Nothobranchius furzeri: one gene and its partners. The protein of the gene in region 2 interacts with the protein of the main gene of each other region in a pairwise test. Links are inferred from orthologs where the notes say so. Each region holds a gene or a part of one and is shown on either strand. Other genes may lie near its edges.

Evidence for each region.
Region 1: the proteins of trim59 (region 2) and zdhhc22 interact in binary tests that used the Homo sapiens proteins (3 or more experiments, as listed by UniProt). The link is inferred for Nothobranchius furzeri from reciprocal best matches to the Homo sapiens genes TRIM59 and ZDHHC22.
Region 3: the proteins of trim59 (region 2) and nrm interact in binary tests that used the Homo sapiens proteins (3 or more experiments, as listed by UniProt). The two-hybrid records come from large-scale screens. The link is inferred for Nothobranchius furzeri from reciprocal best matches to the Homo sapiens genes TRIM59 and NRM.

The regions. Positions count from the first base shown.
Region 1 is NC_091758.1:32,272,988-32,276,604, forward strand, and holds zdhhc22 (palmitoyltransferase ZDHHC22), read right to left. Parts: upstream 2,299-3,617; 5' UTR 2,186-2,298; intron 1,638-2,185; 5' UTR 1,636-1,637; coding exon 1,083-1,635; intron 1,004-1,082; coding exon 726-1,003; 3' UTR 501-725; downstream 1-500. UniProt on the Homo sapiens protein: Palmitoyltransferase that could catalyze the addition of palmitate onto various protein substrates and be involved in a variety of cellular processes. Catalyzes the palmitoylation of KCNMA1, regulating localization of KCNMA1 to the plasma membrane.
Region 2 is NC_091753.1:52,625,755-52,629,780, forward strand, and holds the start of trim59 (tripartite motif-containing protein 59), read right to left. Parts: upstream 2,801-4,026; 5' UTR 2,672-2,800; intron 2,613-2,671; exon of another isoform or gene 2,448-2,612; intron 2,077-2,447; 5' UTR 2,022-2,076; coding exon 1,767-2,021; intron 1,694-1,766; coding exon 1,472-1,693; intron 1,389-1,471; coding exon 1,179-1,388; intron 1-1,178. UniProt on the Homo sapiens protein: E3 ubiquitin ligase involved in different processes such as development and immune response. Serves as a negative regulator for innate immune signaling pathways by suppressing RLR-induced activation of IRF3/7 and NF-kappa-B via interaction with adapter ECSIT.
Region 3 is NC_091759.1:8,213,592-8,217,630, forward strand, and holds nrm (nurim), read left to right. Parts: upstream 1-1,239; 5' UTR 1,240-1,424; coding exon 1,425-1,575; intron 1,576-1,751; exon of another isoform or gene 1,752-1,824; intron 1,825-2,022; coding exon 2,023-2,216; intron 2,217-2,460; coding exon 2,461-2,637; intron 2,638-3,316; coding exon 3,317-3,637; 3' UTR 3,638-3,839; downstream 3,840-4,039.

The DNA.
Region 1 (3,617 bases), on a different chromosome or scaffold from region 2:
CATCGTAGCCCTTAATAAAGTTCCCTGGATAACACGTTGTTGAATCTTTATAAAAGGAGTGAATCGTAACATGATAGAAAGCTTCAAAGGCATGCAAAGCCATTTATCAATGCTTCGAGAACAGATATGGAGAAACTTGAAATATTAGAATGTGGTGCAAAAGTTCATTTATGTCAGTAAGTCAATTAAAAAGTGAAACTAATCAGATAGACTAATTACAGGCTAAGACAATTATTTGAAGTCTTTACTTGTTTTAATTGTGATGATTATGGCTTACAGACTCCCAAAATCTCTGTCAATTAGAATATTGTCGGTATTCTAAACTCAAAGTGTCACACTAATCAGCTGGTTAATCCAAAACAACTGCAAAGGGTACCTGAGCCTTTAGATGGTCTCTCAGTCTAAGATGAATTACTGAAATAAATGGATTTTTGCACCATATTCTCATTTTCAAGTTTCAGCGGCAGTTTTTCCTGACTTGTTAACTTGTATAGGCTTAGTTTGTAAATAATCTTACCTTTTTAAAAGCGACTCTATGAATATAGTCGTGTGCACTTACTTTGTCGCTTATGTGACTCATGTCGTCAATAAAACTGTGCTCTCAGCTAGTTTTACTTGAAAAAGCATCACAAAGCATCTATGTTGACATTTTATCACCTAAAAAACAGCATTTTCTACAAGATATGTTGCTGTTTGACCCTATAGTCTAAATTCACTGCTGTCCATCAGTCTTGTTTTTGTCCATCTGTGTCTTCAGAGGACGTTTCCACTGTCTGCACGGGCAAAATAAGGCCAATCATCCAGCGGTTGCCAAAAACATCCTTCAGGTTGGCTCTCCACGGGGTGCGGTTTTCCAAAAGATCCCCTCTTTGGAGCTGACACCAGGTTTGTCCTCGAGCCACCAGCAGCACCTGCTGGCAGCAGAAACCGGTACTCACCAAGCCAATGCCCAGCCACACGTACAGCATCAGCACCAGGAACAGCTGCAGGCCTGAGATGGATCCTGTGTGTGTGAGGGAGAGAGTGGAGGAATGAATGCCAAAACAAAGGAAATCATCATCTTTCTGATTTGGTGAACTCACCCATGAAGAAGTAACCAGTAGAGAGAGGGAGAAGAGTTAGAAAGGTCAGCGGGTTCTCAAAGGAGATGGAGTACTCCACAGTGAGAAAAGCAACACCCAGAACCAAGGAGTACAGGCATGTGCATGATGTATAGATGCAGAACATGATGAAGTAGCGCATGTTCTTGTTGCCGATGCAGTTTCCTGTGAAAAAACAGTGGTGGTCTCTCTTGAGAATCACTTTCTTGCACAGTTTACAAAAGTGGCGGCCGTTCAGGAGGTAGTGAGCGTCCACGTTATCAGAGCAGTGTGGGGAGCACGGAACCACGGTCTCATTGGCACTTTCTGCTGGATATTTAATAGTCATTACGTAATTCCCCAAAGCGTTGAACATCAGGAACAGGAAGGCAGCGGTGTGGAGGGCTGTGGAGCTCCTCAGGGAGAGATCTGGGTTGGGGAAGATTGTTGGGATGAAGAGGTAGAAGTATAGAATAAAGGTGGCCACGGTGGCTGTGAAGAAGTAAGCAGGCGCCACAGCGTTGAGCAGCCTCAGCTTGAACATTCTGCTGAACATTTCTGTGAGAATAAAAAACACAAATTAGGCAGGAAATTATATTTTAACATATGATTTAAAATATGATCACAGACCTTTTAAAAGTGTTTTATTTGTTGCTGGTTTGAATTATTGACTTCACCCGCATTTTATTTTATTTTATTTTATTTATTTTTGCTACCAGAAAACTGAATTTATGCTTTAATTAGACAGAGAGAAAAACAGAGGAGACAAATCAGCTGATGAGAACTCATTTCTGTGCAAATTGGGGTCAAGGGACTCTCAGGGGCCATTCCAAGAATATCCCATCCTTGTTTCAGAGATCTGCTAACCTGAAGCAAACGAGGATGTTTAAAAACACAATTTACATCTAAAACTTCGCATCTAAACCTACATCGTAACCCGTCAATCTAAAACGCAGGGAATTTCCGCAATTAACAGCATTTCAATTCCGTGGATGACAAACGCCTCCTTTGTGTTTTCTGATTATTTGGAGAATAAATCTAAATATTTGGTAAAGTCGGTGGTTTTATTCCCGTTAGGTTTTCTCCAGGGTGACACATCTGCCTACCTTCAGATGTCTGAGAGCAGAGGAGCTGTCCTTTCAGCACCACGGAGCCCTGCAGCCTCTCAAGATGATGTCTTTATTGAGAGGTGTTCACGGGAAACGTCACCAGGGCTGTGTCATTTATCTACCGCCCCCTGCTGGTCTGGATGCGTCATAATCTCATGTTTCCCTTCAGATTTCAATAATCTAATAATTTTGTATCTTTTCACTGAAAAAATAAATCCTGAAGGTTTGATGCTACAATTGCAGAAAATAAATGATCTTAATACAAATGTACTCTTTTATTTTCCTTCTTATAAATTGAAAAAAACATTTCCAGAAATATATTTTTAATAATTCTCAGTTATTTCTCCTACTGTGGTGGGATTTTTTTTCAATCTACAGTAAATTATATTGTTTACAAGACTTTTAAGATATTTTTTCTTCATATAAAGCAAGTAGACTCTTGAAATTCACCAGATTAAACCTAAAATTAAACAGCACATTGCTATTTTTATGATTATAGTGTTGGGTGAGTATACTACAGTGTGTTTAAAAGGCCATCATATTATTTATCTTTAAATTTCAACTGTCACAAAAGCATAAGAAGTCTAGAAATGTCATTCTAAATGGTAGTAAATAGAAATACAAATGTAAAAAAAGACTTTAGTCTTTCTCCTGATTAAGTTTGGTAAAAGTGCAGGAAGCAGTGTTCCAGTAGGTGGCATTCCAGCTTCAAATACTCTTCTAGGATGAGATGTCAGCTGCTATAGGAGGATTACACCATCACAAAGAAGATGAAATCACCTTGGATATGAAACTGCTTTTAACTGTTGACTTTCAGTAGATTCACAATGAAGGATTGTACCTTCAAAACAAAAGCAGACGTTTATTAATTCTGACTATTCTCTAGCTCACATTCAGTTTATTTGACTGAGCATGAAGACAATTTGCTTTTCATCAATAATACCTTTATTGTCCCATAAATGATCCACAGACATTGTGTTTTTGACCTGTTTCTCCTGCCTCAGCTGTGAGCTTGTTAGGATAATTCAACATTAAGACCCAAACACAGAGATCAGCACCTGTGTTGGAGCTTTCTGCCAACATCACTGGCTCTGTTCAACCTCTGATAAGACATGTGATCAGCCTTTCATTTTCACATTTAAATAATGGCAGTGTCGCGTCACCATCCTCTCCACATGTTATTGAATTATTGCAGAAAATTATAGAAACACATTCTTAATGTTTTTGTTGCTACTTAAGATATATTTGAGTCCACAAATGTATTTTATATGCAACAAGATCCATCAGCCATCAGCACTAATCTGTAGCTTTAAATATTGTTTTGTTGCTGTTTGTCCCAACAGGCCTGAAATTGAAGGTTTGATGGGCAACAATATTGCATAATATTTATGAAGTTGTCAAGTTTTGCAGATTAGCTGCTTCAGACTGC
Region 2 (4,026 bases):
CAAACATTTATGACGAATGTTTTTTATAATTTAGAATGTTAATCTAGACTGTACATTTATAAAAAATATGAATAAATATGGCAAATAACAAATAAAAAAAATAATATCAGCCCTCTGGGGTCCTGGGTGTAAATCACCGTTTTTGACTCATTTTGGTTTGTCTTTTGTATTTTCTAACAAAAACAATAAATTTTGCCTTATGGGGTATCATTTTTTTCAGAACAACCTGGACTATCTGAATTTATACTTATTTTATTAATTTGGCAATAATGTGCATGCATTTTGGAGTGGGGAGTGGCTCTGTCTCACGCCGCGGAGATCGAGATCTGACAGCTGCGCGGCGCCGCCCACTCCTCTTGTTGGATCTCCGAGGAGCTGGATCTCTGCCTTCATCCTCTACCTCATCATGACCCAACTCTTCTATGAGGAAGGATGGATCTGCCACATCGTCATCAACATCCTCGCTATTTGCTTCAGACTCCGGCTGCGAGTCTCCGTCCACTTCCTCTGCTTCCAGTTCAAAAAACAGCCGAACTGCCTGGTGGACATTTATCCTTCTCACCATCCTTTATATAAGCCTAATAAAAGCCTACTAAACTGCAGAGACAACATATCTGTCCGGATCGCTCCAAAATATGAAGTTTACCATCAATATCTGTCTAACTGTTTGTTGTTACTCCGTTCGCGCCACTCCGTTCCCCGCCAAGCGGCTCCTTTTTGCGCACATCTCGTTACTCGTGCGGCCTTCCTCTCTCTCTCAGCTACATGATGATACTTTTTATCAGTTGAATATGTGAGACTTCCAGCAACAGCAAAAGGATCTCATGTTTTTGTGGGTTTTTTATGTTCACAAGCACATTCCCTCTCACGGATTACTAAACTGCTGTTTGACAAGTTATCAGATTGTCTAAAAAAAGGTCATTTTTTAGTTTAGTTTAACTCCGCTTTTACGTTGCTTATTAACACAATTTAAAAACTGGGGTGTAGTTTATAATCTCCTTTTTAAAGCTGAATTGAAACGGAAACTCAGGGAGGCGGAGTCTTGCTGCTACAGCGTCCCAAATCAGACCTGTTCAAAAGACGCGGATAAGCGTCCACGGACCCCAGAGGGTTGAAGACAAATGAGTCAAAACTTCAAAGCAGCCCTAAGAACTGGGATTGTGGAAGTGTCCACACACCTGAAGCTCCTTGACTCTGTGGATCAGGGGGTCATATGCAAGCGACACCTCTGCAGCAGCTTTATCCAAAGCCTCCAGGTAGGCGTGTTTCTTCCTGGCCAGTATTCCCTCCAGCACAAGAAAAAACTGATCCACTTCCTGTTTGTCCTGCCTCACTAGAGCCTCACAGCGGGCTTTGTCCTGCTCCAGCTGCTCTGCCAGGTCACACACCTAACCAACAGCCACAAGACGTTAGACGTATTAATCAAAACAAAAACGGCACAGAATTCCTGCTCCCAAACCCCGACGCCCACCTGCGCCCATCTCTGCTCCGAAAGTCTGGCGAGCAGCAGCGATGGAGTCTGTTTTTCTTTGATGAAGGCGGCCTGAAGGTCATCTATGGGATGTCCCTGATGCTGCCCGACGGTCAGACACAGACCACAGATCAGCTGCCGATCCTGGATGCAGTACATGTTCAGAGGTTGTCTGTGGTGCTCCTGGCAGGACGGGGGTCGAGGCGCATTGTTCGTCTGGTACTGAAAGTAAAAAGAAACAAGCCCGTCAGAAGGATTTCAGACAAACGGGAACAGACGGGCCAGCCTCTCCTACTTTCTCAATGATGGCCCGCAGGGACACATTGGTGGGCAGAGCATCTACACCCATCGGGGGCAGCTCCACCACGCTGCAACAGTTGGGACACTTTATAGGCAGGCGGAGGGGACGCCAGGTGGAATAGTTGGTGGACACCTGCAGCAGGCTGTCCAGGCAGGTCTTGCAGAAGGTGTGAGAACACGGCAGGACCCGCGGGTCGCAGAACAGAGAGTAGCACACAGAGCACGTCAGGTCCTCCTCAAGGGTCTCCATGACGGATCTAGAGGACTCTGGTGGAACAAAGTCTGTCACTTCTGCAGGATGGTTCCTGTTGGACAAAAATTATAATAATTCACAACAGATAACAAGCTTTATTTGGAATTTACCTAAAGATCTGACTGATTAATGCTCAAAGAATAAAACAAATACCTGAAGGAAACACTACGTGATGTTTCTCATGTCTCATTATTGTTAGTGCTGCTCACACTGGATCAGGATCTTATTACTTATTACAATGACCACCCCCTCTCCTCGTTACACACACACACACACACACACACACACACACACACACACACACACACACACACACACACACACACACACACACACACACACACACACACACACACACACACACACACACACACACACACCAGAGCCCAGAGCCAACAGTGGTGTCTCGGATCAAACCATTACCTGTGGCCTGTGGGATGAGTTTAAAGTGTCCAGATAGTTTGTGCTTCCTTTTTTCTTTCTTTTAGCCCAAAACTGGCACTCTCACGCGGCGGGGAGGCTTAAAGACTACTTTAAAAGCAACATTCGTAAATTTGATCAACTATTGCGATACACAGTCTTTTTCTCGTGAGGTGACACGACGCAAATCACCTTAAAATCCGTCTTCCCGAAGTTTTTAGACTCACCGCGGTTCTGCTCGGCCGTGTAGCGTTTGTCCCAAACAGCTTTCATTTCCCCTGATGGTGCTGCCTTCAGGTGCATCCAGTAAAGTCCAGCAACACGAGCTTAAACAGGAAATAAAACGTCTCACCTCATTTCTGGTAAAGCTGTCTAGTACTTTATTAGTTTTTGGGACCAGAATAGTTTAAGATGCAACTTCTCTTGCCACCGTAAGATTTTACTTTTGGAAAAAAAAGTCTTCCATTGTAAAATGTGGAAGTTTTAGTTTTCCGGTAGTTCCTAACGCACAGTTTCTCGTTCTGCTTGTGCGCATGCGCTCGATCTGTTGCTCAGGCCAATCAGGTCGCGTCGTTTTCCAGTTTAAATTCAGGCCCAACAATTAGGAGAAAGGGAGGCGTCAGGAGGAAAATGCACTAGAGGATTAATTATACTTCATTTCACAACAGAACTGTCTCTCTCACTCACTCTCTCTCCCACACACACACACACTTTTGGGTTTGTGTTTCACTATTTATTTTTCTTAAAGACAACTTAGCCGGTAGCCAACATCCCCTGAAAGGTTTTATAGGCTTTTTCTATTCCTTCCAGGTCATAATTTTTGATTTGAAACCACTTTGCTAACAAGGAATGCTGCAAAAAAATAAAATAAAACAAAAAAGTACCCCTATGTTCAACAAAAGGTTTTGAGCACAATGTGTAATCATCACTAGTGTTTGAAGTGAACAGAAAAATAAACATGAGGGTAAGCTTGTACACTTAGCTTGTAGGAGCAAAAAAGGGCTAAAGACTCTGCAAGGTACTACAATTACAGCAAACCTGTTCATGGGTTTATTTACGATTCAGGAAACCCCCATTAGAACATCTCCAGTCTGACGCATGGGACACCTTTGACCGTGAACAGGGAGGTTAAATCCCCTTCCAGTGAAGCTGAGATACATTAGATTCACTACCGCTGCTCCTGAAATAAACTCATTATTGTCTCGAGTATCACTAAATGTTATCATTGGATCATTCCAGAAAACACAGACTGTGGCTGAGTGATGCTTAAATGTAAGGGTGTCTGGGCAGGTCAAAACATATTAAACCCACCAGCAGCAACACCTTCAGAAAGACTTCAGGCCTCACTTTGCAATACATGTGCAAAACAATAATTATTTAGCAAACCGGACAACAGTGAGGAGTCAGGGAAAGGGAAACATGTAACATTTAAGCACAGCTTTACTTAAAATAAAAAAATTACACTGTATTCACAGCCTAAGGGAACTAAAATACCCTAAAAAATAACTGTGCTGTTGTTTAGTACATGCAAAGGGGAGGATTCACAATTCTACGCAGGATGGCCGTGGTTTTCCTCTCCTGT
Region 3 (4,039 bases), on a different chromosome or scaffold from region 2:
GGCTGGAAAAAGGAACACTGAAAAAAAATGTATATGCTCTCCATGGGTGAACAAGTTCAGGCTTTTGTTGTGTGAAATCTAAAAATCTTTTTTGCGTTTAATATTCATTCGAATCTATTTGTTTATTAATTTGTCATTTTTACAAACGTTTAGGTTGAGGAAACCCAACACACGTACTCGCATAACAACACACAGATAATTTAATTTACACTTATGAATTTGCTGCAAATCTGCAGGCTGCATGATTGCAAAAAGACAAGACAAATCATAGTGTAATAAATAAATTAGCTGCACTGGTGTAGCACCTTCTTGAGTCAGAGGTCTCCAATACATGGTACAGTGTATCCTTCATTTGTACACACCCTGGTGGCAATGAGCTACAAGCCAGAGCTGCACTGGGCGCCATCATTTCCTCCAACTTCAGGGTTTATTTCAAGATCGTGTTTCTGGTCTATAGGGCCTTACATGGACAAGCGCCATCTTACATTGGTGATCTTCTTAGTCCCTACACCCCCAGCAGGGACCTGAGGTCCAGTGATCAAAGCCTACTGGTTGTGCAGCACCAGGCTAAAGTCCAAAGGTGACAGATCATTTGCTGCTGTGGCCCCCAGACTCTGGAACTCTCTCCCCCTGAGCCTGAGATCTGTGGACTCCTTTAAAAAGCAGCTGAAAACTCACTTGTTCAGGCTGGCTTTTGTGTGACCTTCATCACCCTCTCCCTGTTCTGCTCTCCCTGCCTATTCCACCTTCCATGAGGATCCACTGATTTCCCTCTTTCCTATTCACTCTCTCTCTTTCTCCACATTTTTAATCACAATTGTCTATTTTTTGTGCATTTTAAATATATTTTAATAATTTTCTAAATTCTTTTTTATATTGTTATATTTTGTGAAGCACCTCTTCTTCTTCAACCACCACCAGCTGCTGGGGAAGGTTGGGTGTCTTGCCCAGGGACGCTTCAACGGGGTTCTCTGTCAGGACCTGTAATGGAACCTGCAACTTTCCAATTACTGAACCTTCTGTTCTACCCTCTGAGCTGCCCCCTAATTTTTTTTTCTTAACTGCATTTTTTGTGTGTGTGTTGGAGCAGTGAAAAGCTTTACAGCACATGGTATTCCAAGCGGTCTCCCATCCAACTACTGACCAGGTTCTAGCCTAGATTGCTGTCGAGATCGGGCGTACTTTAGGGTGGTAAGGTCGTAAGCAATATCTAATTTCGTTTAAAACCTTATTTTCTACTTTTCTTCATAGGCTTTCACTTATTTCTGCTGCCGTATATGGCATTTGCTCTGTTTGGAAAAGTTCAAAACAAGGTTCTTCACGACGCTTTGAAACCAAGAGTTAGATGGGCAACAGCGCCCTCGTGTCGCACAAGCACTTCAACACCGGAACTGTGGAAGTGACATGAAGAGGAGTTGATTGAAATGGCGTCAGTCACTATACGCAAGTGGGGGCTCTGCGCGGTTTCCCTGCTAAACTTGTTGTTTGTCTTCATATCCGGAGCAGATTTCATTCGGTTTTTGTCGTTTCGAGCAATTTATCATAACATTACAGGGGAGACGAGACTCTGTCAAGGTAAGCGACAGATGGTAGCCTGGAAAGTTAACGCACTGTTCAGAAATAACATTTAAACTCACATTTACGGCTGTTAAGCAAATTCAGGTATGGAGAAATTATATTCAACTTCAGTAAGCCTGGACGAAACTATTCAGTCACTATGATAATGTCTACTGTGACTGTGTGTCCCCACAGCCCGGCTAGCTCAGTCGGTAGAGCATGAGACTCTTAATCTCAGGGTCGTGGGTTCGAGCCCCACGTTGGGCGATAGCCTTTTCCTTTATTCTTGAAAATTTACTGACATAATTTTATATATCTGTATGAGTAAATTCATCATATATGCAGCAAATGCATTTTGATACATAACATGTGCCTCTAGTTTTGTTGTAATAATTTTGATTTAATCTTGATTAATACTACCTAAATGAAATGACTATTTATAAAGTGTTATTTGTCTCCATTAAGACTCCATACCTTGGTCTGTGGCTCTGAGGGACAGCTCGGTGCATTGGTCTCTAGCTGTGGATGTGTGTTTAGTGGCTCTTTTCACTGCACAACACAGCCTGCTCGCCTGGTCTCCGGTCAAACAGGTCCTACAGTCAGCTCTGGGAACCTTAAACAGGACGTTTTACTGCTTCACTACTGCACTTGCTCTGCAGGTACACTAAAAGTACTGAAAATATATGCTTTAATATTCTAGAACAACCATAATAATATGCTAACTGCAGTGATGGACAGATTATACATTGGTTGGAATAAAATCACAGGTGAACTAAATGCCCCACAATTGAAATAATTTAATAACCCCTAATTTACAGATGTGCCATTAATTTCTATAGGAAGTATTAATCTTAATCACCTGCATACTTTATAACTACATAATCATTTACTTTCCTGTGTTAGGTCTTGATGCGTTACTGGCAGACAGTGACTGGCGCTCCCTGCTTGTGGTCGGTGCGTATTGCACCCTGGAGTGTCTGGTTCCCCCTGCTCTGCTTTTCTCTACACTTCCTCTGCTGGTCCATCATCTGTAGCATCCTCATGATTTTTGATTACCCAGAACTACTGGGCATCAAGCAGGTGAGAAAGTCATGTATCAAAGAAACATGTTAGATATGTTTTTTTCCTCAAGCAAATGATTAAGACAGTCCTAGAATTTAAAACTACATTTAAATTGTTGTTATGAAGCTTGGGGTGTCTAATGTAGCATTCCAAAGAGTTTGTGCGGCCTGGTTTAGCACAAACTCTTTGGTATGCTACATTAGACACCATAAGCTTCATAACAAAGCTAATGCTAATGCTTGCCCTACCAACTCATAAGGCTATCCTGACTACCGCTAATGCTAACTAAACCTATCGCTAATGCTAGCCCAAGCTACTGCTAATTGTCTTATTGGATGAGAGGAAAACAACAAAGAAGAATGCTGGAGCACCACTCATGTTCCAGAATGTACTGGTGGTATCCAGGCTATGAATGGATCCCAGATACATCCATAGGATGGGATCCAAATGCTCGTCTTCATTCCTCCACAAGCCCTCTCATCTCAACATCAGTTGGTTTATTTTCATTCATCTCCCAGTGTGGACCTCAGCCGGGCCAACACTCACTCTGGGGTTGTATTTGGCCATTTTTCTGGGCTCCTGTGCCATTTTGAGCTCCAACAAAGTTTCGTAGAACTGTTTTCAATTGTAAAAAAGTGTTCTAGTACACCTTTAAAACCATAAAACCCTGATTATACCTATTTCTTGGCTCTTTTAGGTGTACTACAAGAGTCTCGGTTTAGGAGACCCCTTGTCTCATAAATCACTTCCTGCTCAGCGACTCCTGTCCCACTTCCGCCACCCAGTGTTCCTGGAGCTGGTGGTCATCCTGTGGCTCCTGCCGGCCCTGTCCCTGGACAGGCTTCTGCTGGCGGGGATGCTGTCCACCTACATGGCCCTGGCTCACTCGCTGGACAAACTGGATTTAGCCTACCTCTGTACGCAGTTTAGAAACAAGGTGCACCTCATTGCAGAACAACAGCGAGGCAGCGTTGATGCCACAATAGACCAGAACAGCAGCAATCACATGGAAAAGTGATCTTAATATTAATTTCAACTTTAACTGCAGCTGTAGTCTAAAGCGAGGCGGCAGTTTTTGTCACTTTGTATGTGACAAAGTGGAGAGTTGTGCCATTTAAAGGAAGTGCTGCATTTTTTTTTATAAACGTTTACGTTGCCTGGAACTCAGAATGTGTTTCTGTGTTTTCGTTTAAACTCAGTCTCATTTAAACACAGATTTCACACTGGAAACGCCCTAGTTTGTCACAGCTCGATTGAGAAATCACTAATAAAATGTAAAGGCATTTCTTTTACAATTTATGCAACAGAATTATGGACGCTCATGTGTCTGGTCTAATGTGACAAACTGGGTTAATATTGTCATTGATAAATCAGGAACTTGAGTTTATGTTGTTTTATTTCACAAGTTTCTCTAATTTTC